Linked DNA regions of Sus scrofa. The protein of the gene in region 4 interacts with the protein of the main gene of each other region in a pairwise test. Links are inferred from orthologs where the notes say so. Each region holds a gene or a part of one and is shown on either strand. Other genes may lie near its edges.

Evidence for each region.
Region 1: the proteins of NUDT18 (region 4) and GLUL interact in a two-hybrid assay, tested with the Homo sapiens proteins (2 studies listed by BioGRID and IntAct). The two-hybrid records come from large-scale screens. The link is inferred for Sus scrofa from reciprocal best matches to the Homo sapiens genes NUDT18 and GLUL.
Region 2: the proteins of NUDT18 (region 4) and HSD17B14 interact in binary tests that used the Homo sapiens proteins (3 or more experiments, as listed by UniProt). The two-hybrid records come from large-scale screens. The link is inferred for Sus scrofa from reciprocal best matches to the Homo sapiens genes NUDT18 and HSD17B14.
Region 3: the proteins of NUDT18 (region 4) and NADK interact in a two-hybrid assay, tested with the Homo sapiens proteins (2 studies listed by BioGRID and IntAct). The two-hybrid records come from large-scale screens. The link is inferred for Sus scrofa from reciprocal best matches to the Homo sapiens genes NUDT18 and NADK.
Region 5: the proteins of NUDT18 (region 4) and RABAC1 interact in binary tests that used the Homo sapiens proteins (3 or more experiments, as listed by UniProt). The two-hybrid records come from large-scale screens. The link is inferred for Sus scrofa from reciprocal best matches to the Homo sapiens genes NUDT18 and RABAC1.

Annotation. Positions count from the first base shown.
Region 1 is NC_010451.4:123,752,572-123,756,082, forward strand, and holds part of GLUL (glutamine synthetase), read right to left. Parts: intron 3,016-3,511; coding exon 2,869-3,015; intron 2,472-2,868; coding exon 2,344-2,471; intron 2,150-2,343; coding exon 1,950-2,149; intron 1,119-1,949; coding exon 800-1,118; 3' UTR 1-799. UniProt on the Homo sapiens protein: Glutamine synthetase that catalyzes the ATP-dependent conversion of glutamate and ammonia to glutamine.
Region 2 is NC_010448.4:54,141,336-54,145,439, reverse strand, and holds the start of HSD17B14 (17-beta-hydroxysteroid dehydrogenase 14), read left to right. Parts: upstream 1-1,296; 5' UTR 1,297-1,469; intron 1,470-1,829; 5' UTR 1,830-1,907; coding exon 1,908-1,995; intron 1,996-2,518; coding exon 2,519-2,557; intron 2,558-2,750; coding exon 2,751-2,833; intron 2,834-3,370; coding exon 3,371-3,452; intron 3,453-4,104. UniProt on the Homo sapiens protein: Catalyzes the NAD(+)-dependent oxidation of L-fucose, yielding L-fucono-1,5-lactone, which rapidly converts spontaneously to L-fucone-1,4-lactone. Can also act on D-arabinose and L-galactose, with lower catalytic efficiency. Does not use NADPH.
Region 3 is NC_010448.4:63,856,585-63,860,095, forward strand, and holds part of NADK (NAD kinase), read right to left. Parts: intron 230-3,511; 5' UTR 214-229; coding exon 1-213.
Region 4 is NC_010456.5:6,378,905-6,383,068, forward strand, and holds NUDT18 (8-oxo-dGDP phosphatase NUDT18), read right to left. Parts: upstream 2,809-4,164; 5' UTR 2,654-2,808; coding exon 2,492-2,653; intron 1,571-2,491; coding exon 1,357-1,570; intron 1,104-1,356; coding exon 511-1,103; 3' UTR 83-510; downstream 1-82. UniProt on the Homo sapiens protein: Mediates the hydrolysis of oxidized nucleoside diphosphate derivatives. Hydrolyzes 8-oxo-7,8-dihydroguanine (8-oxo-Gua)-containing deoxyribo- and ribonucleoside diphosphates to the monophosphates. Hydrolyzes 8-oxo-dGDP and 8-oxo-GDP with the same efficiencies.
Region 5 is NC_010448.4:49,932,095-49,936,247, forward strand, and holds the start of RABAC1 (prenylated Rab acceptor protein 1), read left to right. Parts: upstream 1-1,344; 5' UTR 1,345-1,493; coding exon 1,494-1,549; intron 1,550-1,800; coding exon 1,801-2,013; intron 2,014-2,293; coding exon 2,294-2,391; intron 2,392-3,849; coding exon 3,850-3,951; intron 3,952-4,035; coding exon 4,036-4,124; 3' UTR 4,125-4,153. UniProt on the Homo sapiens protein: General Rab protein regulator required for vesicle formation from the Golgi complex. May control vesicle docking and fusion by mediating the action of Rab GTPases to the SNARE complexes.

The DNA.
Region 1 (3,511 bases), on a different chromosome or scaffold from region 4:
GTCTCAAATTTGGCTCCCAGTGACCAGAATGGTTTTCTCTCTTAGGAAAAAAAAAAAAAAAAAAAAAAAAAAAAAAAAAAAACCATTATCTGCACACCCATATATATAATTTTTTTGTTTTTACATTTAAATATAAAAATACTACTCTTCTTTGTGTTATAAATGGACCAGACAGTAAGAACTTTTTCTTTTAAGGTAGGGCTAGCCATCCATTTACGCCGAACATAATCAGGGCCTTTAGCCCCAGGCAAGGGAAATACCACACCAGATCGAGGGCATTTTCCTACCTCATTTCCCACCCTTCCTTCTCTCCTAATGCTCACCCTTAAGAGAAAGTTGGTTCTAACCTTCTAAGGAATGGAAGGCCCACCAACCAAGAAGGAGACTTCTAACCGAACCAAAGTCAGGTCCTCTGACCCCTGACTCAACTACCACTCAGAGAAAGTCTGCCCCTTCCCTGCACAAAGACTATGTTCTCTGTCCGGATAGCTGTGCCTACTGGACAAACACACCTGATGAAATGGAAGCAGTGGTTATGACTCCCCACCTCCCTCCCCACTAACACACTAGAAACTTCAGTGATAGGGAAAAAAAGGGGCGGGGGGTGTGTGTGAAGAGATTAGGAACTTGAGCCCTCTATCCTGGCCAAAGAAAGCAAGAGATATTAACTGGGCATGAGGAATAAAAAAGACCTTGCTATTCCGCCCTTTGAGTTACAGCTATTACGACAGTTGAGAGGGGCGAGGGGGGGGGCGGTGTAGAATTAGGAGGGGTTTTGATGGCTGCCCGTCTAGTCCACTTAGTTTTTGTACTGGAAGGGCTCGTCGCCAGTTTCGTTGAGGAGACACGTGCGGATGAGAGCTTCTGTCACCGCAAAGGGGTCACAGTTGGCAGAAGGGCGACGGTCTTCGAAGTAACCCTTCTTCTCCTGGCCGACAGTCCGGGGAATGCGGATGCTAGCGCCACGGTTGGCCACGCCGGCAGAAAAGTCGTTGATGTTGGAGGTTTCATGGAATCCAGTTAGGCGCCGGGCGTTGTCCAGGCCCCCCTTGGGATCGTAGGCTCGGATGTGGTACTGGTGCCGCTTGCTTAGCTTCTCGATGGCCTCCTCGATGTACCTGGAGGAAAGAGTTAAGATGAGAGTCCGACCTGCCACCAGGAGACCCGCCCTTCAAAGGCAGAGAAGCAGGTATGGATCCAAGGATGGAGTGACTCATCTACAAAAGATTGTTTTCCAGGGATCAATTTTCCCAAGCATGGCCCCAGGGAACAGCTCCTCCCCAGGGGCAGTACTATGCTTTGTAACCCTTGTGTCTTTGTGCTTAAGAGCGCTGGTCTTCTCCTGTGTTGAATGAAAAGACCCCCATCCAAGACTTTCTCCCACTCACGGGCCTGAAGTTGATTCATAAGCTTGTGTTGCTGCTACTTTAGTTCTGTAGATTTCCAAACGCATTAATCTATGTCAACTTTCCCCGATCACCATCCTCGAATCCTGCTCCTAATAGTATTTTGGGGGTACTTTTCAAATAGAAACCAAACATCAGGATCAGAGGACAATTTTTGAAGCTGAATGCTAAGAGCTAAGGCATGAACTGAGGAGGCCAGCTTACTCATCCCCAATACATCAAATTCTTGGCAAGCATTTTTTTTTTTTTTTTTTAACTTTTTAGGGCTGCACCCGCAGCATATGGAGGTTCCTAGGCTAGGGGTCCAATCAGAGCTACAGCTGCTGGCCTACACCACAGCAACACCAGATCCGAGCCTTGTCTGCAACCTATACCACAGCTCACAGCAACGCCGGATCCTTAACCCACTGAGTGAGGCCAGGGATCGAACCCGCAACCTCATGGTTCCTAGTAGGATTCGCTTCCACTGCGCCAGGACAGGAACTCCTTGGCAAGTATTTTTGCAAAGAGAGTGAAATGGCTCCAGCAGGAGCCCACACTCACTTCAGACCATTCTCCTCTCGCATGGCCTTGGTGCTAAAGTTGGTGTGGCAGCCGGCACCATTCCAGTTCCCAGGAATGGGCTTAGGATCAAAGGTGGCGATCACTCCGAAGTCTTCGCACACACGATGCAAGATGAATCGGGCCACCCAGAGGTGATCTCCCATGTCGATTCCTTCACAGGGTCCGATCTGGAATTCCCACTAGAGAGAACGAGAAGAAGATTGGCCTTTAAAGCAAAACCAACTGCTCGCCCCAACCCACCTGCTCCCATTTCACTTCTATTCCACAGCACCTCGAGAGTGCTGGGTTAAGGACTGGTGCATCACAGCAGCCCTTGCTAGCAAAACCCTCATTTGCCTACAGGCGGGGAAGGTGATGGGCTAGAGCCATTTACCTGGGCGGGCATGACCTCGGCATTGGTGCCCCCAATCTTGATGCCGGCATACAAGCAGGCCCGGTAGTGAGCCTCCACAATGTCCCTGCCATAGGCTTTGTCTGCTCCAACACCACAATAGTACGGACCTGCAGAGGCATCAAGGTGGAATGAATGTCAAGAGGCAAGACATGGAGAAAATCCCTAGCTAGGTAAGATGACCGGCCCAAGTCAGATGTCAGAAAGCTCTCAACCACTTGCTCTCTAGAATCCCATCCCTAACTGTCCCTGGACGTAGAGGAGTGGGTGCAGGGGGCTCCTCTCATAAAGCCAAAGGGTTCCCCTCAGTGTTAATGTCTAAATGTCCATGCCTGGATCTGGGTGACACAAGGGCTCTACAGTATTATTTCAACCAGTCTCTGGGATACTACTCCTCTACCTTTTTAATCCACGAGGATTCATTCCAATCTCTGGAGAGATACTTTTTTCTTTGCCAACTAACACTTGGGGAAAAAGCAAGATTCCTCTCTCACCGGGAGGACTCACCTTGGGGCCCAGGGAAGCCATTGGAAGGCCAACCAAAGGGGTGTCCATCTGTGCCCATGAGAGTATATTCCTGCTCCATTCCAAACCAGGGGTGCTGGTTGCTCACCATGTCCATTATCCGTTTACAGGTGTGCCTTAAGTTGGTCTCTAGGAAAAAGAAAGAGCCAACACACTTATTAGAGACGCATGGGCAAATGTACCGAATGCACATGCGCCTGAGGTGGTTTCCAGGAATCCACACACCTGAGATGATGAGTGTTGGCTGCACTGTAAGCTTTCAGTCCCCGCTGGTGTAAAAGCGGACAATGAGAGAAGCTATAATTATGTATCTGTAGGGAGACTCTCAAAAGGCTTTATTTATAACTAAACTGGGTTACAACAAAGTCACACGGCAGTGGATCCAGAATAGAGCACGTTTTCACTTTATCTGCAAGCTGGCCCCCTCCCAAACGCCAAATGTCAAGCACTTAAACTCTCTATTCACTAGAGAACTGCTTCTCGCTTTCCATCTATTCCTAGTTTCTCAGGCATTTAGAGCCAAATCTACAATTTTGACTGAGAGAAGAAGAGCCTTACATTCTAGGTGAGAAGGTAAACCACTACAAAGTTCTATAGTATTGGCTGGTGCAAAAGCAAACAAACC
Region 2 (4,104 bases), on a different chromosome or scaffold from region 4:
TTCTCTCTTCGCTAAGCTCCTTCACTTCATCCTCAAAATGAGGACGTGAGGGCTTCCTGGGGGAGGAATTCTAATGCTCCAATTCCTTTGCAGCCTGCCCTGGGACACTCAGGAGCCAGAAATGGCTCAGAAGCTCTGGGTCCTGGAGCAGGTAAGGAATTGGAGATCCAAACTAGAAGCAAGAAAGTCAACAAAAGGGTGAGGAGTAGCATTAAGTATTAATGTCTCCTGAGTACTCTTGAGTACCAGGGTATGGATGGCAGAACATTTCAGAGACGCTTGAATTCCTGGGGAATGAGAAAGCCCTAGTTCACAGCGGTTCCACCGTTGCTGTCAAACTCTGCTCCTCTGTCGGGAAGTTTTCGGGCAATTGGACTACAGATCCCATAATGCACGCAGACTTAAAAAGAGGGTCTCGCCCTGTTCAAAATCCTTTAGAGCCATATGCTAGGGACTACAACTCCCAGAAGGACACGCTCTGCACCGTGGTCCTCACCTTACAGGCAAATTATTCAAGGCCACCCCTGCATCTTCTTTTTTCTAGTCCGAGGAACACGACCCCTTATTTACCAACATCTGAGGGTCACCGGGAGCGAGTTCTCAGCCTCTCTCAAGCCTTGGCTGCTGAGGCGTCACAGTGGCACCGAATGATGACAGGTGAGAATGGGCTGGGGACCTTGGGCTCCTGGGTGTTAGGGAAGAGGGAGTCTGGAGGCCCGGAATCCTAGGTCCTGGTGGGGAGGGGGGTCCGACGACCGCCAGAAACCCTCTGCCTTGGTAAAGAAAGAGCTGGACAGGGCTTGGGGGTTCCAGACCCCAGTAGGAGGGGACTGGATCCCAGGACTGCCGTGTCTGGGGAGGAGAGGACGGGGAGCCTGGACTCCTAGGTTTGAGAGGAAAGTCCTGGGTGTCGGGACTTCTGGGTCCCAAAGTTTGCCATTCTCGTTCTCCGTCCGTCCTCTCCAGGTGGCAGTTTGGACTCTCGAGGAGACCCTCTTCCCCCTGCGTCGCCACCTCCGTCAGATCCCACGCCCTGCGTGTCCTCGCCCCCAAGATCTCCTCCAGTGGCCAGTTCCCACTCCACGGGGTTCTCCCACCGAGGGACTGGGCGCGACGCAGGCCCGGCCTCTTGGGAGCCGACCTGGGATTCCGGGACCGCCCCTCCCGCGCTAACCCCAGACGAGGAGGCGTGGCCTCTGAGAGTCACGCTGCTACAGTCCAGCTTCTGACCCGCCCAAGCAGGGCAGCCAATCAGAGCTGGAGGGCGTGTCCCGGAGGTACTTCCGGGACAGATGGAGCCTCTTCCCTCACCTGAGGGCGTGATCTGGTCCCCTCCCGGTGGCCGAGGAGTGGCTACTTTGGCCAAAGTTTGATTTTCCCAATACTTGTCCAAATTTGGATTAAAACATTGAACTCTTAGTCGATAACTTTCTGTCTGTTTGGAGTTGTGACACCGGTGTCTCGAAGAGGTAGAGCTGGAGTGGTGAACTCCTGGGTCCCGCGGGAGGAGGGGACAGCGGACTCAGCTTTGTGTGTCAGAGGAACGGGGGGAGCTCGAGGTCTGGATTACTGAGTCTGAGGGAGGAGGGGGCCGGCGACCTGGATTCCTGGGTCTGAAGGAAGAGAGGACCCGGGACCTGGACTTTGGAGTCCAAGGTCCGGCAGAGGGGGCCGGACTCCAGGAATCCCGAGTTTGAGGGTTGGGGGACCGGCCTCCTGGGTCTGAGGGAGGAGGGGGCTGGGGCCAAGTTCCAGGCTTCTGGCTTTCCTGGCAACGCCCCCGGGGCCGGGCTTCAGGATCCAGCCCCTATTTATGGTTCGACCCCAAGACCTCACCGGACTTCAGAGGGGGATAGAAGCCTCGAGTGAGTGTGAGTGAGTGGCCGAAGGAGACCTTCTGACGCGGGATGGCAACGGGAACGCGCTATGCCGGGAAGGTGGTAATCGTGACGGGGGGCGGGCGCGGCATCGGAGCTGGGATCGTCCGAGCCTTCGGTGAGTGGGGTCTGGTCGGCTCTGAACAGTGGAGTCTGGGAGCGGAGGGACCCGGGGGCTAATGGGTGTGGGACGAAGTATCTTCTGTACTGGAATCTAGATTCTTGTCTCGTAAAATCCAATTTGCAAAGTTAACGAAGGGAAGGCAGAGGTGGCCTGGGGCCTGAGATTGCGGCGGATTTTCAAATGCCATTGACTCCCTTTCTCTGGGTCTCAGCTATTGCTACAGAATGGGGGGCCGGGGGTGGTGGTTGAAGGAATATGTCTTTTGGAGGTTTAGGGTTTACTCTAGAACCCAGGGATGGAGACTCAGGAGCCCCAGAAGTCACCTGGAATAGCCAAGGAGAAGGCTAGGCTTCTGCCTTTTGCCCTACGGGATCATCATGAGACTTTGGGGTCACGAGGGGAACAGAGCTGGGGCGGTGGTGGGGGGGGAACGGCCCTGTTCCGGGTGGCCACAGAGGGCAGCAGAGATCTTCACCAAGGTCTCTGCAGGGCTAACCTATTCCCTGTCTATTCGCAGTGGAAAGTGGCGCCCAGGTGGTGATCTGTGACAAAGACGGTGAGTGAGGGTCCCCCAGTCCTCAGCCCACTGCCTCCTCCCTTAGATTCAAGAAGAATACAGGCCCCAGCACCCTCCTCCCTCAGACCCAGGATCCAGCCCCAGCCCTCCTCCCTCAGACCCAGGATCCTGGGCCCCCAGCCCCTCCTCTCTGAGACCCAGGCTCCAGCCCCCAGCCCTTCTCTTCCTGCAGAGTCCACTGGTCGGACCCTGGAGCAGGAGCTGCCTGGGTCTGTCTTTGTCCTCTGTGACGTGACTCAAGAGGATGATGTGAAGGTGAGCGCGTAGTTTCTGTCCCTCCCCGTCCCCCTCAATCTCCAATCGTTCTCTCTCTCCCTTCACCCCGGGCTTTGCACATGCTATTCCCTCTACCCTTCCCCATCTCCTGGCTAAATGACACCTGCCCCCAGAGTCTCAGCTCAGTTTCATCGCAAAGCTTTCCTAACTCGGCTGGCCACGTCCTGTGTCTGCCGAGAAGATTCTCCTCTATCTCCCAGGCCTTCAAGGCCCCTGGTCCCTCCTGTCACATGATCTGGATCCAGTAAGAGTTCTCCTTCTCCCAGGGTTTCTCCCCTTCCCTTCATCTGCTCCCCCATCCCCCACCCTCCTGGGTCTCTGGAGTAGTGAGCTCAGGGTGTGTGTCACCAGCCCTCTGGTCTCTGGCACCCTGGCGTCCAGTCTCCTCATCTCCTGCCATGCCTGGCGATTTGGGGTCGGCCCCCACAATGTCCTGTCCCCTCCGCGGTGACTCCGCTTCTGCCACGTCTCACTTGGGGGAGCCCAGCAGGGGCGCCAATGCTGTTCACTCACAAGACAGCTTTCTCCTCAGACCCTCTTTCTGAGACCATCCGCCGCTTCGGCCGCCTGGACTGTGTGGTCAACAACGCCGGCTCCCGTGAGTTGTCAACCCGCTTCCCGGGCTCTGTCCCATTGCTGCTCTGTGTCCCCAGGCCTGTGCCGCCACCTCTTTATGCCTCAGTTTCTACATTTCTAAAATGACAATGACCACCACTGTCCTTGCCATTACAGGGTGTTGAGAGTATTAAATAGTGTAACTGGGCGGAGTTCCCGTCATGGTGCAGAGGAAATGAACCTGACTAGGAACCATGAGGTTGCGGGTTCAGTCCCTGGCCTTGCTCAGTGGGTTAAGGATCTGGCTGTGAGCTGTGGTGCAGATACGGCTCGGATCCCGTATTGCTGTGGCTGTGATGTAGGCCAGAGGCTGTAGCTCCGATTCGACCCCTAGCCTGGGAACCTCCATATGCCACGAGTGCGGCCCTAAAAAAAAAAAAAATTGTGTCACTGCTCAGCCCCCTAATCACCCTAACTGTCTTGGGCAGACAGCGTCCATCTTGCAGCCTCCGTTTTGGTTTGGTTTGGTTTGGTTTTGGCCATGGCATGCAGAAGTTCCAGGGTCAGGGATTGAATCTGCGCCACAGCAGCAATAATGCCAGGTCCTTAGTCTGCTGAGCCACCAGGGAACTCCAACCTCAGTTTCTTTAAAGTGAGGCGGATGGCTCTTTTTTTCTGTGACTGTGAACAAGTAC
Region 3 (3,511 bases), on a different chromosome or scaffold from region 4:
CAGGGCGGGGGAGGCTGACAGGCTGCGGGACTTGGCCCGCCCCCGGATGGGGTGGCCGAGCGCCCAGTCCTCGTCCCCATGGCAGGCGGAGCAGCGGTAGGAGGCGGCGTCTGCGCTCAGCTCCTTACTCCCATTGACTTTTTCCTGCTCCATTTCCACAGCTGTTGCCCGAGGAGCAGGTGGGCCTGGAAACGCCGGACGCCTTGGTGTCATAAAATAAAGGAAAGACCTACGTAAAAACAGCGAACACACACGTACCTAGCAGGGGGAAAAGCACGGAAATCCAGTTATCAAAGGACTTCACCCGGGCTGCTTCCAACACAAAGATACTTCCAGCTCAGAAATCTACCTCTGTTTTTTAATTAATCTGGAAGAGCTAAGTCCACGAGTAAGAAAAAATTACCAAGTGAGAACGCAGCCACACACCAGGGGATGCGTGGCCCTTTGACGAGAGGCAAATCCCACTTGCGGCGCAGTTGTAAACGCCTCTCAGCCAGAACACGTGGGTGATTATCACTGACAAGACCAAGGAGGCCAAGTCCTGCAAACAGAGGCTGCAGTTTTATGTCATTTATTTCACTCGTTCATTTATTTTTTGTCTTTTTAGGGCCACACCCACGGCATATGGAGGTTCCCAGGCCAGGGGTCGAATTGGAGGTACAGCTGTTGGCCTGTGCCACAGCCACAGCGACAAGGGATCCGAGCCGCGTCTGTGACCTACGCCGCAGCTCAGGGCAACGCTGGATCCTCAACCCACTGAGCAGGGCCAGGGGTCCAACCTGCGTCCTCACGGATTCTAGTCAGGTTTCCTGCTGAGCCACGATGGGAACCCCTATTGTATGTATTTTTTTTTTTTTGTCTTTTTTTTTTTGTTGTTGTTGTTGCTATTTCTTGGGCCGCTCCCCCGGCATATGGAGGTTCCCAGGCTAGGGGTTGAATCGGAGCTGTAGCCACCGGCCTACGCCAGAGCCACAGCAATGCGGGATCCGAGCCGCGTCTGCAACCTACACCACAGCTCACGGCAACGCCGGATCGTTAACCCACTGAGCAAGGGCAGGGACCGAACCCGCAACCTCATGGTTCCTAGTCGGATTCGTTAACCACTGCGCCACGACGGGAACTCCTATTGTATGTATTTTTTGATGCACTCGTGGCACCTGGAAGAACCTGGGCCAGGGACCAAAGCCTCTGCAGCGACAATGCCAGATCTTAACCTGCTGCACCACCTGAGAACTCCTGAGCTTACACTTTTAAAGCGATCTATTTGGTCATCAAAGAAAACTTCAACTTCCGAAAGTTAGTGGAGACTCTCATCTTCCAACTAGAACACGGCAAAGCAGGAAACGACAGAAGCCGAAACAGAACAGTTCTGAGGAACCAAGGGCACCTGGGAGCGTCTGAACTCTGTCCCAGCCGACCCGAGCTCAAAACTGGCACCCAACCGACGAGACAGCACTCGGACCAGACGAGCTGGGACCCCAAGCCCAGGACCACCCCCCACCATCAAGCTGTGCTGGGATCCTCGAGAATTAAGAGCAATGAGCTAAAGTCAACAAAGCCAGAAGATGAATAAAACAAACCTAAGGAAGGCAGAAAAGGGGACAAAACACAGGCAGAAAGCATTACAAGGACAAGGAGAAAAGCAGCAGAGCTTGGAGATAAAGGACATCAACCAGTTTAGACTGAGGGATGGAAAGAACTACACTCACCGAAAATCCTGGACCAAAAGGTGGTCATTTTCTCAGAAAGCTGCCAGTTCCCAAGAGAGGCGTGGCAGTGCCACAAACCACGGAGGACCTCACGGGGGCCCAGACCCTCCTCCTGGAAGGCCCAGCCGGGCCTGAGCTCACTCCAGTCGTGAACAAGCACAAAGACAAGCCCAGAAGAGCCCACAATGCACACGACACAGATGCCAGCCCTGGAAGGGACAACGTGGGGTTCCCGCAAGGAGGCAGAAGGAACGTGCTGGAGCCACAGAACAGCCTGGGGCCTCTAGGATAAGGTCAAAGGTAGCAAGTCCCCTGAGCTCTCAGCCACCTGGCACTTCACAATCCACTAAGGAGTCTCCCGCACCTGAGCCAGACCAAGGGCATCAGCAGCTTTAAAAGCTCCCGAGGTAATTCTAGGAGTTCTCTGGTGGCTCTGCAGCTTAAGGACCTGATAATGTGGGATGGGTTAGAACACAGAGCTCAAGGGACCAAAAAGACAGTCAACAAACAAATGGATTTTCAACAGAGGGGATTCCACAGGGAGACAAAATCTTCTTTCCAAATACTTCTAGAAGAACTCCAGAAACTCTCTGGTGATGCAGCAGTGGAAAAAACCCAGGAATTTGCTGGTGACCACAGGCACACCCTGCCCTCCCCCCAAAAAAAACCACTGGGCAAAAGATCCCAACTTTGGGCAACTTCCCCAAAGATATACTGACTGCGAACAAGCACATGAAAAGATGCCCGGCGTCTTTAGTCATCAGAAGTGAATTAAAACCACAATGAGATACGGCTCCCATGCATGGAGAATACCAAAAAGGTTAGAAAACTGACCACACCAAGTGTCCCCAGGCCAGGAAGGCATTGGAACCCTCATGCACCACTGGTGGAAATGAAAATGGTATAACCAGTTTGGAAAATAGTTTGGCAGTGTTTTCTTAAAACGTTAAACCCAGGTTCATCCTCCGTGTGTTTCCATCTCAGATGTTTACCCAACAGAAAAGAAAGCATGTATCCACACCGAGACACCCGGCCACTAAAATCTGTGATTCATTCAACTCTTTGCTCAAAATTCACCTCCTGGAGGACAACCCTTTGCCTCCACTCCTTATTCCCGCAGGCAGGGGCTCCTCTTCCCCAGGGCGCGACCTCTGCCTGCCCTGAAGTGACCCTCTCTTCTCACTTGTGTCTCTTTTGGTCCGAAACTGCGCGGCTCAGAGAGGTCAGCGCTTGAGAGGAGCCCCACGGAACACGCACCATTACTAGAGACCAAGGGGCGGTAGCAAGCAGAGGGCCGAAAATAACCCCCAAGTTAACGACAATAATAACAATTATAGAAAGGGATGCCAACACTCTGGCCAAACAAAACCTGAAGACCCCTCGCCAGGCGCTGCACAGGCTGGAAGAAGCTGGACGGCCAGCAAGGAAGGCCTGTCTAGACAGCACACTGAGCTGGGCAGGGGAGGCTGGACCCCTAGAAGGTGCGGAAACGCCGTCATTCCACGGGGCGCGGGGTACAGAAATAACTCTCTAGTAGGAGTACCATAACCCTGAGAATACAAAGAAAAGGAATTAATTACATCCTATGATGCTCAAGTTTTCAGAAGGCTTATAATTAATTTTATAACCGCTGGATTTTTACATATTCTATATCATGGGTAACATCCAAAGGAATGAATCTCTCGGAGTTACCGTCGTGGTGCAGTGGAAACAAATCTGACTAGGAACCAGGAGGTTGTGGGTTCCATCCCTGGCCTCGCTCAGTGGGTTAAGGATCCTGTGTTGCTGTGGCTGTGGCGTAG
Region 4 (4,164 bases):
TACCACTGAGCCACAGTGGGAATGCCCCACCACCACCTTCCTGCTCATTCCCTCCCCGCAGAGACAATGAGGTGAGAAGGCAAAGTGAGCAACACCTCTTTACTCAGCCAGGGACCCACTCCCTTGGAATGACCTTCCTCAGTGCCCCCTCCCTGTTCCAAGTGCCCAAGGATCCGGATGAAGCCTTCACTGAGGCAGGCCTGGAAAATGATGAGGCGATGCCACCCCTGGTTCAGAAAGTCCTCACATCCCCTTAGGGAGTCATGCCATCATTGTCCCCTTGGGCAACTGGGTCTATGAGCTCTGCTTGATTGAAGGCACTGTCTCTTTTGGTGCAATGCAGAAACCTGGTCCATGGTGATGAGAGACAGAAGTCTCCCTCGGAGCCAGGAGAACTGTCCTGGTTCTGATGTGACAAGATCCCTGACTGCCAACCCTGTCCCCCTTAGAGGAGGCAAAGCCTCCTCTAAAGCAGAGATGCCCATGTCCTGGCCCACAGACAGCAGCCTCCTATCTATTGATTGGGACCACAGATGATTCCTGAAGCCTCTGTAAGAGCTGGCTTTGTAGGTCTTCCTCCACCTTCCACCAAAAGAAGTTCTCACCCCGAACCTTTGGGGGCTCATTTTGGATACCTGGATTCCGGAAAGCCACCGTCACCAGCACGTTTAAGCAGATGCCATCCGTTTGGTCTCTGCCCAGGTGCTGCAGTCCAAGCAACCCCTTGGTCTCCACTGCCAAATGGTGCAGGGTCAGGCACTCCTGTAGCAGCCTCAGGACAGCCATCTTGATGCCACCCCTCTGGTCCATGGGAGCAAAGCCACAGGCGGTGATGGGCAAGTGAGGCATCCCCACAGTGCCAACCAGCACCCACACTGTCTGGACACTGGTAAAGGTGGCCACAAGCCGCTGGCAGATCAAACTGCAGGGAAGCTCTTGGGGCAGAATGAGAGGGTGCCTGGCTTGCTGGCGATACTGCACGGCTAGCTCTACCAAGTGCAGAATGTCATGGGCTCGAAGTGGAGTGGGCAGAGAGGTTCGTGGGTACCAGCCAGCCTGCAAGGACTCTGCATCTGCTTCCTTGGAAGTCTTAAGAATTCCACCTGGGATAGATGTGGGGGAAAAGGACGTGGAAAAAGTCTGTTGAGGGAAGTGCTGGACCTGGCAGAATAAAGGCCCACCCAGGAATCGAGCTCTGACCCAGCAGGTGCACAGGAGGCCCTGAGTCAAGTCTCAAACTGGAATCTGGCGATGCCAGGCTTGAACCAGCCAGAACAGGGGTTCAGCTCACCTGAGAACAAGCTGGGGAAATGGTGTCAACTGCCCCTGCCCACACTGCCACCCACTGGGCCATACCTGTAGGGCGAGCAAGGAACACGAAGCGGATCCAGGAGGGGCCCCGCTCCTCCAAGGACAGCAGTGTCAGAGGCTCACAGTGCAGCCCAGCCTCCTCCTTCACCTCCCGCTGCAGCGCCTCCACGATGGTCTCCCCAGGCTCCATCCTCCCCGCGGGTAGGTACCACGACCCACGGCACTCTTTCTTGGCTTCCTGGACGAGTAGCACCTCATCCTGAGGGGAGAGAGAGGATTCTTAGCCACCACAGCTGGGCTGGGAGCTCCAGGGGAGTGGGACAGCCAGCAACCTTCACTTGCCGAGATCAAAGCTCAGGTACAGCTGCTAGTGGACACCCTGAAATTGCTGAGCTCCCCAGGGGCCTGGCCCTTGTGTGTTGGTAGATTGCAGCTGTCTCTGCAATTCATCCCACTTTGTATTCAAGTTTCCATTTCAGAAGGGGGCTGAGATTCCTGTGAGCTGCTTCAGGGGCCAGAGAACAGGCCTCACAGCGAGGGTTGTTACCATGTGCCCCGCCATGATTTCTGTCTGCACCAGTCAATGATCTCTCCCACCTCCCTCGTGGTTTATAAACTGCTTGTGGCCAGTCTTCACACTGGGCTGTCAGCTTTGAAACACACCCCAAACCATGGCCCCATTGAACTCCTACCTATGGCCCTGACGCCTTCTAGCTCTTTTTACAAGCCACTTATGCAGGGATCTACACCAAAATGAGCATCACACAGGAAGTCAGAAGGTCAGAGTGTAAGCGCAGGTTGTGCAGTTACTGCCCATGGGACCCAAGGGGGGAATCTCTGAAGAACTGGACAGATCTTTTAAAAAAAAAACCACGTCGCGGCGGGCACTTTGCTAGATTCTGGGGAAAAGAGGAGGAAGAGACAGCCCTCTCCTCAAGAAACTGAGGCCTAGTGGGATGAGACAGACGGCTCCTGGGCCTCAGTTTCCTCCTCTGTACTTCGTGACAATTGCAGGGCTCGGCCGCACCAGGCTCAGATATAAGTGTAAGAGTGCTTTGCAAAACTGGGAAGAGCCACACACCAGGAAGCGGTGGCTGCTGCCGGTAGGTCCTCGGTCCCCACCGGGGCTGGCTGCGCGCTCCGGAGGTCCGGGCGGTGGGCCCGACCGGCGGACGCTCACCTGCTCGTTGAGGAACACGGCCAGCACCACGTAGCAGACATTCTTCCGCAGCCGCACGGGCGCCAGCGGCTCCCCGGCCGGTTTCGAATCGCAGCTCTGTACCCGCAGACCCCGGCCCCCCAGAACGGCCGCCAGCGCCCCCGCAAGGCCTTCCGAGGCCATCGGGTCCCCTAAAAGGCGATGGGGAGGGCCCCGAAGACCCGCCGAGAAGGGTAGGGTGGACGTGGGTGACCAAGGGACTCGTCGCCCCCAACCCCTCCCCCTGCGGGCTCGGGCGGAGAGCGCTCGCGAACGCGGAAGCACCCGGCAGGCCCTGGCCGCTGATAGGCTACGCGTCACCGCGGCCGGCTAGGATTGGCTAGAGCGTGTTCGTCACTGTGAGGCGGAGCCAGTCCATAAGGGGCTGGGCGCCGCGCCCCCGCTCTGCGGCCCCCGGCAGGCTTCTGACGCTCGGTGGCTCCCTCCTTTCTCCCCGGCGTCTCCCGCCGCCAGCCTCGCTAATTCCTCCCGCGCGCACTTGTCTGAACGGGTTCCGACGGTGACGTCACCCTGCCCGCAGGCTGCGGAGCGCCGCAGCCGCCAGCGACGGTGACGTCACAAGCCCGATGCTGTCACCGGGTCCGCCCACGGCTTGGACCCACTGGCTAGCTTTTGTCATAAACATACCACTGCATTACCTGAAATGACACTGCCCAAATAACCTTTCTTCGCTTAGAATGTCACGGGGCAAGGAGGACGAGAGCTCCTGCCTTGGAGGAGATTCCGATCCAGCTGGAGAGGTGGCCATAGCTATATAATGGAAAGTCAATGGACTTAATAAGCCAAGTGCTAAATGACTGGTTTGGGCAGGAATTGCTACAGGCGCTCAGAGGAGGGAGGGAGCAGAGCTGGGAAGGTCAAGGTGTGCCTGGCGGTGGGAGGCTGGGAGGCGAGGATTTGATGCAGAGAAAGGGCCTGGGATCAGCCCTCAGCAGTGTCCCTGGTCCCTCGCCTCCGGCGGCCACATTTCCCAATCATCAGTTTCAGGGCCCTCTCCCGCCAGGGGCGGGGTTCTGCCTTTTGTCATTGTTGCACACACACACCCCTAACACTTTCACAGGGCCTGGTCCATTGACAGCCAGGTGCGGGTTGTTTTTTGGGGAGCTCCTGCCTCTCCCCTGGCCTGACCTTGCCTCCTCAGAGCGTCTTTAACCTCCTCTCAGGACAGGGAGGCAGGGCCAGCTGGCATGAAACTGAAACCAGCCATTTCTGAGCTGCTCAGCCCCAGTGAGATCTCCCATTTCCCTTCTGCTGGCTTTGGGCACATCCCTTTTGGGGTGACAGTTGCTTGGTGGAGCAGACAAAGCATTGGACTTGGAGCTGGATGCCCAGCCACTGCTCCCTGGCTGATCTGTGCCCTGAGTAAGTTGTGGGCCTGTTCCCTCATCTGTACAGTAAGCTCCTGACAGCTCTTCCTTCCCAGGGCTGTCGGGAAGGTGAGACGTCGTGAGAGGAGCCCGGTAGACTGCGAAGTGTGGGTCACCATCAACAGGCAGCCCACCAACCTTCTGGCCACAGCACTTGTTGCTACCACACAAAGACCCACTTTCACAAGATGTGCCTAGAGAGCTGCCATGAACTAGATGTTACTCTCAGGAATTCCAGCCACACCAAATCCTTAGCCCCTTCTCACA
Region 5 (4,153 bases), on a different chromosome or scaffold from region 4:
ACAGACATATTTGAGAAGGCTGAACTCTAGAAATAATCATAACATTCATGACAATGTAGTGGCAAAAACAACATCACCATTTATTGAGTGGTTATAAAATAGCAAGACTCTTTCAAGCACTTCACATGGATCATTCAACCCAACCTTAACCCATGAGTGTGGAACCAGGATGATCTTCACTGTCCAATGAAGACAGGGAGTTGATGAAATCAACACAGGCTGGATTTTGACCTCTGACCCAAGAAATCCAGTTCTTTTAGTTGTAACTACTCCGTCTTTTAAAAATTCTCAGAGTTCCCATCATGGCTCAGTGGTAACAAACCCAACAAGTATCCATGGGGACGCGTATTTGATCCTTGGCCTTGCTCAGTGGGTTAAGTGTCTGGCGTTGCTGTGAGCTGTGGTGTAGGTCACAGATGTGCCTCGGATCCCGCCTTGCTGTGGCTGTGGTGTGGGCCAGCAGCTGCAGCTCTGATTCGACCCCTAGCCTGGGAACCTCCACATGCCACGGGTGTGGCCCTAAAATGACAATAAATAAATAAATAAAAATTAAAAATTAAAATCCCTCATTCCCCTCAATAAAACTGGAATAAAAAAAGATTAAAAAAAAAAAAAAACAACTCACCCCTTTACTTTCCCCTACTTCCCTTTACCCTCTCCATAGCAGGGGCATCCTTGAGGTCCTAATCCTAACCCATCCATCCTTAGGAGCCCAGAGTTGTGGGGGAGCTTTGCTCCCCATCTTAGATAACCCCCTTCAGCAACCATGGCCCCCTCACTAGCCTTTGAAGAAGGATGGAATGGATTCCTACAAATATTCTACAGTCTCACTATTCAAATGTGGTCCATGAGTTCCCTGGTGGCTCAGGATCCCCCACTGTCACTGCTGTGCTAGGGTTGCTGCTGTGGCTAGGGTTCGATCCTTAGCCAGAAAACGTAGCATGTCCCCACCCACCCCACTCCCTGCCTGCCACAAAAAAAAAAAAAGAGCCAGTGAATGGGTCTCACCCCAGATCTGATAAATCAGAACATCTGAGTGTTTAATCACGGTTTTTTTTAATATCCTTAGAGTCAGAATGACAGCCCTACACAGTCCCCACTGTACAGAGACTGCTCGGGGTAGTACACGACGTCTTCTGCCTTTACACTCCCCCGACACCCTGACTCCTGACAGCTCACTTTCTCTGACCTCGCACGTCCTACCTTTGAAACTACAACTCCCACAATGCCCCCGAGGCACCCACGTCGCTTTACGCGACTACATCTCCCAAGGTGCTCCTCGAGCCATGCAGCCACCAGGGCGCCTACTCTCCCCGACATCGTCAGGACTACAACTCCCATAATACTCCGTGACAAACCTACCGCCCCCAGCGGCGCCGGAACGGCGCCACGTCCCCTCCGGCCACTTCGAGTGAGGCCGGTTTCGGGCGGGGCCCGTGGGGTGTGGAGGGCCCCAGCCTCGTTACAGCGGTTCTTCCCCTCACAACACAGACATGGCGGCCGAGAAGGACCAGCAGAAGGATGCCGAGGCGGAAGGGCTGAGCGCCACGTAAGCAAGTCTAATCTAGCCCCCCTGACCTAGACCCGAGAGTCATGGCTTCTCGCCCCTCATCCCTGGGGAGTTAGGAATCCGGACTCCTGGCCCCGGCTCAATCCCTTCCTCCCCTGGAATCCAGGAGTCCTGGACCATATCTCCCCCGCCCCCCAGAACCCCGGAGTCCCGCTCCCCTCGGCCCCCTTCTTGCTCGGGGGTCCGGGCTCCAACCCGGTCTACCGCTGACCTGGTCCCGCACCCCCCAGGACCCTGCTGCCGAAACTGATTCCCTCTGGCGCGGGCCGTGAGTGGCTGGAGCGGCGCCGTGCTACCATCCGCCCCTGGGGCTCCTTCGTGGACCAGCGGCGTTTTTCGCGTCCCCGCAACCTGGGCGAGCTTTGCCAGCGCCTCGTACGCAACGTGGAATACTACCAAAGCAACTATGTGTTTGTGTTCCTGGGCCTCATCCTGTACTGCGTGTGAGTGTCTCTCTGGCCAGAACAGCCCCCCTCAGCCAGGCCCCGCCCCCGCCAGGCTGCCATGTCTGCACTGGCCAGGCCCTGTCCCCATGGGATAGCTCTGTGGGATCTTTACCCCAGAGGACCAGGTCCCTACTCCATCAGCCTGGCTGGGATGCAGGGGGACCAAACATGACCTAGACTTGCGTGGTCCTAAGGACGTCCCCAGGTGTAGAAGGTCAGGGCCTTCGTGTCTGACGCAGCCCCAGCGGCCTGACTGTGCCTCCCTGCCCTCCTCCAGGGTAACATCGCCCATGCTGCTGGTAGCTCTGGCTGTCTTCTTTGGCGCCTGTTACATCCTCTATCTGCGCACGTTGCAGTCCAAGTTTGTGCTGTTTGGTGAGAAATCTGCCCAAACTCCTCTGATCCTGGCTCTTTGAATCCAAGCCTTAGACCTCAAACCTGAGTCCTTTTGAACCCAAGTCTGCCCAATCCTAGACCTACAGTAGATTCCCCATACCCACACCTGATGCTCCTATCCACTCTCAGTCCCCCCAAATTGCTGTTTCCCAAACCCAGAAGATATCCAAGAACCACTCCACCTAGCCGCTGGCCTTTTAAACCTCCTCCTTCTCTCTCCCTCATCTGCCAAAAGCATCAGCTGCAAGTACCCACATTGGACGCCAGGTGGCGACTTTACTCTAGCCTAAATCTGTCCTCCCCCTTTCGTGCTTCCTGGGATGGGAGTAGAAAAATCTTGGGACTTCTCAGAGGGAAGCTGAGGCCTGTGGCTCATGTGGTCCTAGACTGGCACCAAGCACCACTGGGAAGAAAGAGGGCCTGAGTTCCCAACTAAGGGAAACTCAAGGTTTGGAGTGGAGATAAGGGGGAGTTGGAATCAAAGAAACAGGTAGACCTAAGACAGAATCCATCAGAAGCCTGCCAGTTATGTATCTGGTAAGGGTGGGCTGGGTGGAGGAGCATGTCAGGCGAGCACAGGGCACAGAGGGAGCGTCCAGAGCATAGTCACAACTTGTCTTCAGCCACTGCTGCCGCCAGGGTTTGCAAGTCTGACTTTCCAATCTGCCACAAGAAGCCAGATGTCTATACAGCCATCTCTCAGCTTTTCTAGGAGCCCCCAGATTTTGGATACCCAAATCCGAGGATGCTCAAGTTGCTGATGTAGCAATGATGTAGTACAGTGACCCACGGGTGCCCATCTGCGGATACAGAGGGCCGACTGTATTGCTGTGTGAAATCATTCTGTCTGTATGTCAGCAGCAAATCAACAAATCGTGGCTCAGCGGTTAACAAGCCTGACTAGGTTCCACGAGGATGCGGGTTCGACCCCTGGCCTCGCTCAGGGTGTTAAGGATCTGGTGTTGCCGTGAGCTGTGGTGTAGGTTGCAGACGTGTCTCGGATCTCGCGTTGTTGTGGCTGTGGATCTGATTCGACCCCTAGCCTGGAAACTTCCATGTGCTGTGGGTGCGGCCCTAAAAAGCAAAAAAATTATTGTGGAATAATATGCAAACTCAAAAAACATGTCTAGGTGTCAGCCTGGGCCTTTGGGATGCCAGTTGGAAAACCCAGGTCTATGCGAGGGCAGGTTGGAGCAGGAAAGCTGTAGTTTGGGGAGGGAGAGTCTGGGAGCTTCCTAGCAGAAGTAAAGTTGAAGGGTGGAGGGCGGTGGGGGGGATTACTGAGGAAGGTGCACTGTTTCAGGGGACAGTGGGTGGGGACGCTGGGGAAATGGCTGGGGCCGGACTTGGAGGGCCTTGGCATAAGGCATTTTGGGGGTTACTCTGGGAGAGGGGACAGGTGTGGAACAGCTGTCCCAATGCCATCTGCCCCCCCAGGCCGAGAGGTGAGCCCCGCCCATCAGTATGCCCTGGCCGGGGGCGTCTCCTTTCCCTTCTTCTGGCTGGCTGGCGCGGGATCCGCCGTCTTCTGGGTCCTAGGTGAGTGAGTACAGGGTCTCGGTGGCGCGGTGGGCAGTGGGGGCCGGGGAGGCAGCAGGCCCTGAGCTGCCCGTTTTCCCCCAGGAGCCACCCTCGTGGTCATCGGCTCCCACGCCGCCTTCCACCAGATAGAGGCTGTGGACGGGGAGGAGCTGCAGATGGAACCTGTGTGAGGTGTCTTCAAGGACATGTCGGCCTCCCA